2 linked regions of the Drosophila melanogaster genome follow. The protein of the gene in region 1 interacts with the protein of each later gene in a pairwise test. Each region holds a gene or a part of one and is shown on either strand. Other genes may lie near its edges. The genes, in order: CG17134 and Or22a.

Region 1 (3,291 bases):
GTTGGGCACACTGCGATCCATGGTTTCAGTCAATCCATAGTCCACATACCCATGCCAACATTAATGTATTTGCATATAAAACCGAGCCCCAAAGTATCCCCATTTATTTTTACACATGTCACTTTTATATACGCCACCGCCTGCCCGCTGGCCTTATGCTGATTTTCGATTCCGAATCACATTTGTTTGATGTCCAATCCCATCGCTCTTCCATCCATCAGGTCTGCACCAAGCTGGGCTGGAAGAGCAAGGGCAGCGAGTGGGACATACTGCCATTGGTGGTCTCGGCCAATGGTCACGATCCGGACTACTTTGATTACCCGCCCGAATTGATACTGGAAGTTCCGCTGACCCATCCAAAGTGAGTATAAAGATGCATGCAGATGGGTGCTATTACCACAGCTTACTATCGCTCTGATTTGTGATTTACTTAAATCTTACTTACATACATTGTAAGCAAGTAAACCTGATAGTTATTACCCACAGGAATACTCCAAGTTAGATTTTATGTATTGCATGTATTTCTCTTAGTTATTTCCTTTTCGATAACAACGTTATGTTAATAATCCGCCACCCTGGCGAAACCAATCCTTTCGTTGCCCTTGTCGAAAACCGTGTAGAACTTGCCAATAAAGACATCACCCAGAATCCAGAAGCTTAGTCCCTCCATGTAGGTGAAGGCGGACATGCAGTAGGTTTGGCCATTCTGCGTTACCTTGACTATATAATCCCTTGGTGCCAGGGTGAAGACAGTACCACCGATATTCAGGTTGACCTTGGGCAGGGATGAGACTCGGCCGCACCTCACGAATGCCTCACCGTCATTATCGGTGGCGCCCAGCTGGCGATTGATCTTCCTGTAAGCGGCCAGTGGAACTGCGATTAAGGAGGTGCCCGTATCGGCGATGGCTTGGCATCCGTTGCACAGCAAAGTGCCATTGGTCTTGATGGTGTTCACCTTGAACTGCCAGTAGGCAGGAACGGAAACGGGCACATAGGTGAGGCTTCCCCTATAGAGACTCGAGTCAATACCGCCCAGGATCAGTTCTCCACCGCGCACAGCGGTTCCCTGTCGCTTGAGATAGAAGGAGATAACTGGTTCATCGAGCAGTCCCTGGGAGATCATGTTGTCGAACGGCGGAGTCACTCCATCGACGGCAATCGCGCTGAAGGCCAGTCCCAGGATTCCAGCAAAAGGAGCATCCACGAAGGTTGTACCCGGCTCGCTGAGTGCTTCGCCGAATGTCTGATTCTGAATGCTGATTCCCGCTATGGTCACAATGTCGTTGGACAGGAAACCCGACAGACTACCAGTTCCGTATTCGATGGCGAACTCCTCACCATTGGCCACATAAGTGCTGGATGCCGAAGAATCGTATTTGTTGTGCCTCTGGCACGCGGTATTCGAAGCCGGGCAACTTGCACTTGGAACCCACAGATTGGCCGATCCCGTGTCGAACAGAATGTTGAATCTCTGCTCAGGCGTTCCGATAGCAATCACGCCGTAGTACTCATTGTTCATGGAATTGTGCAGGTTTTCGGTGGCACCCGACGAACTGACACTGAAAGAGGTCTCCGCCAAAAAGGAGTACTTCGATGCCAGCACGGTCTTCTCGGCCTTAACACTGCCATGGGTCTTGGTGAAATTCTTGTTCACTTGGAGCTGGACGCGATTCAACTTGGCAGCGGAATGGCCAATCCCGACAAGCACCAATAAAACTAACAACTGTCTCATGTCTGCGGCTGAAATTCGACTGTGAATAGATTTGAAATGGGTTCGAAATTTAAATAACTTTTCTGTCTGCTCTCCCATTTTTTTTGTATTGTCTAACTGCAAATATCCATAAATAGCCACGAAATTTTCCATTTCTGGAAGTTAATGACGTCCACGAGTTCTGTTGGCATACTTAAGCTGACTTGGAAACAAAGCCAACTCCAGTCGTAGAGATTAAAGAACTCGGCAAATATTTGTTGTTCGTTTTACAAATCTTCTTTAATACAAGTGTTTAGCCATAAGGTTTATGATGAAACAAATAGGCACGTGGATTAGTTTGGAGTTGAAATATAATTGACTCAAGTAAAGAATCTGGAGTATTCATCGCCGTAGAATGGGTAATCGATGCCGTAGCTAGATGGTTCTTTCACATAACTGGAGGCATAAACCCTATAACTTGAATGCTTCTTTAGTTTTGCGAATCCAATTCTCTCCTTGCCCACATCGAAAACCGTATAGACCTTTCCAAGGAAAATGTCTCCCAGTATCCATAGTAAATTACCCTGCAAGTATGTGAAGCCGGATAGGCACAGGGTTTGATTGTTATCCGCCTGGACCTTGTAGATGTAATCCTTTGGCGTTAGTGTGTAGGTAGTGCCACCGATATTTAGATTAACATTCGGCAATCTACAGAGACTGCTGCAGTCCACAAATGCTTCTCCATCTCCGGCATCAGTGGCATTCAACACTTTATTGATCGCTTTATAGGCTCGCAGGGGAACGGCGATGAGCGAGGTGCCAGTATCGGCGATGGCCTGGCATCCGTTGCAGAGAAGGATGCCCTCGATTTTCACCGAATTAGCCGTAAATTGCCAATAGGCAGGCATCGATACTGGAACGTAGTTGATGCAACCCCTGTAGATGCTCCGATCGATTCCACCCCAGATGACTTCTCCGCCAGACTGTGAGGTACCATCGCGCCTGAGGTAGACGGAGAACACCGGATGTTTGACCAATCCCTGCCGGATGATGTTGTCAAAGGGAGTGGTGACTCCGCCGGAAATGGACGCAAATGCCATTCCAATTATGCCATCAAAAATGGTGTTCACAAAGGCTGAACCTGGTTCATCGATGGCCTCGGCGAATGTCTGATTCCTGATTACCATACCATCGATGTCCACCGTATCCGTGGACAAAAATCCAGACAAGCTGCCTGAGCCGTACTGTATGCTAAATCCTTTTCCATCCTCCACGTGGGAACTGGACGCACTCGAGTTGTATTTATTGTGCTTTTGGCAGGCTTCGTTGGTGCTTGAACACTTTACACTCGGCACCCATAAGTCGGATGATCCAGTGTCGAACTGAAGATTAAAACACTGCGGTGGTGTTCCGATGCAGAGGCGAATGGTGTACTCCAGATTGAATCCGTTGGCTAGCACCTGTGTCGTTTGTGATGATTGTCTGTCCACCAGAAAGTACTTGGCCGCCAGCAAGATCTTCTCCGCCTTCACATTGGCATGGGTCTTGTTCTGGTTGATCTGACGAGTGATGGGAGTCCTCCTGAGTTGGCCCATCGA
Region 2 (4,144 bases), 9.3 Mb from region 1:
CAAAGTCCGTGTACAGTCTAACTTCGCTAAAGGTGTCACAAGGAAAACTAATGTTTCTAGAAAGTATACGAAATACAAAATCATTAAGAGTACCTATTTAGCAAATTCATATTACGAAGTGTGGTGAAATAAGTTGCAGTTCATATCAGTAAGTTATAGGGCAAACTTAAGAAATTATAAAATTAAAGAATTTTAAAGAAGTTATAATAACAGACCGTGAAGGAAAAAGAAAAAGTGAATGTTTCCAGCATTGTCCTGCAGCAATTAAAAAAAATTGCATTCCCTCAAAGGATTGACTACTGCCAAAATCTGCATGGCCATGTGGAGCGGCCAAAGGTTTACGAGAAAATATAGTATGGAATTACACATATATTGATATAATTAGTTGAACTTACCCAAAACAAGCTAAAATAAATATGTTAAAGTACATTTATCGTGTATATGCATTACTTTAATAGCGATGTTCTCATATATATATTTTTCACCCTTAAACATTACCACTTAAAAAACTTAATCACTTAAATTCCAAAATATTTGCGTGCGTACCAATCCATTTGTCATCAGATCGCCGTCAATAAATTTATGTTATGTATACGTTGTTTGTAACCGGAATATGTTGTAAATTAGTCAAGCATATAATAGCTACTGTCGCCACAGTTTTAATTAGTTAGAGGAATAGCCAATTAAAACCAAAAATAATAGTAATAGTTCGGTTGTTTTCTTTTTTTGTACCATATTCTGTGGTGTTTCGGTCACAATTTAGACTAGACTTCAATGACCAACGATGAGAATCAGTCTGAATTCACACATATGGTATATTTTCCAGGAATCGTTGATTTAAAGATGAGTTTGTAAACTGTGTAACCTCTACTTAAGTTGACTTTTCAATGATTTAATTATAGCTTGTGAAACTCGCGATAACTTAAAAATTAAAAAATGCAAAAAAGCCCGTTTCGATCGTTTACACAAAAATATACCCATTAGGAATAAAATGCACGATCTGGAAGGATCATAATTTGCCAATACCCACCCATCTTTATAACTTAAATTGGATTGCGCACTGCAGACGCTGATTGAATTTTAAATTTCGTCTCTCTACCATGAGCCGGAAAAAAAAAATGTAAAATATTCCGATTAATTACCAGAACCGACAAAAGATTCTAGGGCGGGCACATGGACGGGTTGTCTCCGCCGAATGCATTTAATTTGCATGTTCACGAAGGTCCTTTTGTGTGCATTTGTATGTCTGGATGTCCGTCCTCAACGCCAATGAGTCAATATTATTACGGTCGACGCTTCACACTCTCCGTGAAATTGGCAAAAGGGAAAGCGGCCGCAAACGCTGGCAAAAATGCTTTCAATTAATTAAACACCCGAAAAGCAAGGCTATAATGAGAATGCAATGTGCTGTGCAAAGTGCTCTAAAGAGAGATGTTTGGTCGGGGAAACCCGCAGCGGGTCCCTCGATCAACTCAATCAACAATGATGCCAATTTACAGGACACTCGATGCACGTAGCGAAAGCTTAAATGATGTCCAAACTTTATATTATATCTTTGAAATTGTTTTAAAGTCATTTGGGATCTGTAAAGTTGTCTAAAGATTTGCTGTAATACATAAAATATATTTATAATATGATTGATACACGTTTAATCTCTTCTATTTAATTCATTGTGTGCCTTTCAAGGTCTTCAGCACATCATCATTTTTATACATTTTTAGAATATATTTCGGAAATTATAAATCAAATTTAAGCCGCATATTTTTCACGAGTGCAGTCTGCGGCATGCAGCTCATTAATAATACAGATAATGTGTTTGGCGGCAATCATTTTTCGGTTGCATGCCATCGCGGTGGCATTGATTAACACCGCCAATGGTCAACGCAATGTCAGACGAAAGGCAATGATATTGGGCGGGAAAAGGGGAATTCGGTTCAGTATGGTCGTATGAAGATGTATGGCGAATTAATGTATTTTTGGTAGTGTTTTACTCGGTAAATTGCTTGTTAAGTTCCTGATCGTTGAACGAGCATAATTCCATTCAGCTGAAATGTAACCTGCGGTCGATTAAATGTCATATGACATTTTCTACTGACATTCTTTAAAAACTTACAGCAAATACGAAACAGAACTAAAGCTCTTAAAACCGCCAAGTCATGTGAGACCATTTGCAACAGTGAGGCAGCCTATAAAAAGCACTGTTTCCCAGCTCAAGCAAATATTCAAACAAAGCCACGGACAAGATGTTAAGCAAGTTTTTTCCCCACATAAAAGAAAAGCCATTGAGCGAGCGGGTTAAGTCCCGAGATGCCTTCATTTACTTGGATCGGGTGATGTGGTCCTTTGGCTGGACAGAGCCTGAAAACAAAAGGTAATGAAATCAATGTAAGCACATATATAAGTATTAAAGCTACCATAATTTCCCGTAAAGGTGGATCCTTCCTTATAAACTGTGGTTAGCGTTCGTGAACATAGTAATGCTCATCCTTCTGCCGATCTCGATAAGCATCGAGTACCTCCACCGATTTAAAACCTTCTCGGCGGGGGAGTTCCTTAGTTCCCTCGAGATTGGAGTCAACATGTACGGAAGCTCTTTTAAGTGCGCCTTCACCTTGATTGGATTCAAGAAAAGACAGGAAGCTAAGGTTTTACTGGATCAGCTGGACAAGAGATGCCTTAGCGATAAGGAGAGGTCCACTGTTCATCGCTATGTCGCCATGGGAAACTTTTTCGATATTTTGTATCACATTTTTTACTCCACCTTCGTGGTAATGAACTTCCCGTATTTTCTGCTTGAGAGACGCCATGCTTGGCGCATGTACTTTCCATATATCGATTCCGACGAACAGTTTTACATCTCCAGCATCGCCGAGTGTTTTCTGATGACGGAGGCCATCTACATGGATCTCTGTACGGACGTGTGTCCCTTGATCTCCATGCTTATGGCTCGATGCCACATTAGCCTCCTGAAACAGCGACTGAGAAATCTCCGATCGAAGCCAGGAAGGACCGAAGATGAGTACTTGGAGGAGCTCACCGAGTGCATTCGGGATCATCGATTGCTATTGGAGTAAGGTGTTTCAAATGCTACAAGAACACTGTGTCGCAAAGACATAGTAAAATGAAATATTTGAAACAGTTTTCTTCTATTCCTTTCCTTTTTATTAATGGCCTTTTTTTATTTCTTAGCTATGTTGACGCATTGCGACCCGTCTTTTCGGGAACCATTTTTGTGCAGTTCCTCCTGATCGGTACTGTACTGGGTCTCTCAATGATAAATCTAATGTTCTTCTCGACATTTTGGACTGGTGTCGCCACTTGCCTTTTTATGTTCGACGTGTCCATGGAGACGTTCCCCTTTTGCTATTTGTGCAACATGATTATCGATGACTGCCAGGAAATGTCCAATTGCCTCTTTCAATCGGACTGGACCTCTGCCGATCGTCGCTACAAATCCACGTTGGTATACTTTCTTCACAATCTTCAGCAACCCATTACTCTCACGGCTGGTGGAGTGTTTCCTATTTCCATGCAAACAAATTTGGCTGTGGGTGTCAATATTTTAGATATATCATTGATTTTACACCTATTTTAAATTACTTTGTTATTATAGATGGTGAAGCTGGCATTTTCTGTGGTTACGGTAATTAAGCAATTTAACTTGGCCGAAAGGTTTCAATAAGTTGAGAGGGACGAGCTCTGCTACTATTATATTATATATTATATTATATTATATATATATTATTTTATATTATATATTGCTGTACCCTAATAAATATTTAGTAATATCACTGTTTTTCATATATATCAAACTTTGTGGCGCCCTCGGGTGGAAGAGTTTTGAAAGCCAGACAAACTGGAATACTGCAGTTTTTCGCAAAGGAAGGTGCATGGGTCGGATACACCACAACTGTCCACTTAATAAAATGCATTATTGCCAAATAACTAATGTAGTTACTTACAAAAAAAAAAACCGAAACATATAAAAGCTACAAAAACAAAATATGTGAGAGAATACAAGGGAAATGTATAATTCATACAAACTCTTTAAGAAGAGTTTCTTGGTTAATTGATCGATTTTAAACTTTTTTTTTTACTTATATTTTCCTTTTAGGTGTGAAGGTGTAGTTTGTAGGTGATTGTG

What was found.
Region 2: the proteins of CG17134 (region 1) and Or22a interact in a two-hybrid assay, tested with the Drosophila melanogaster proteins (one large-scale study listed by BioGRID).

Annotation. Positions count from the first base shown.
Region 1 is NT_033779.5:10,819,177-10,822,467, reverse strand, and holds CG17134 (uncharacterized protein), read right to left. Parts: upstream 1,764-3,291; 5' UTR 1,736-1,763; coding exon 560-1,735; 3' UTR 501-559; downstream 1-500. Other genes in the region: CG6508 (uncharacterized protein), read right to left, coding at 2,074-3,291; Nos (nitric oxide synthase), read left to right, coding at 222-361.
Region 2 is NT_033779.5:1,518,370-1,522,513, forward strand, and holds Or22a (odorant receptor 22a), read left to right. Parts: upstream 1-2,121; 5' UTR 2,122-2,243; coding exon 2,244-2,371; intron 2,372-2,431; coding exon 2,432-3,070; intron 3,071-3,189; coding exon 3,190-3,547; intron 3,548-3,613; coding exon 3,614-3,682; 3' UTR 3,683-3,787; downstream 3,788-4,144. UniProt on the Drosophila melanogaster protein: Odorant receptor which mediates acceptance or avoidance behavior, depending on its substrates. The odorant receptor repertoire encodes a large collection of odor stimuli that vary widely in identity, intensity, and duration.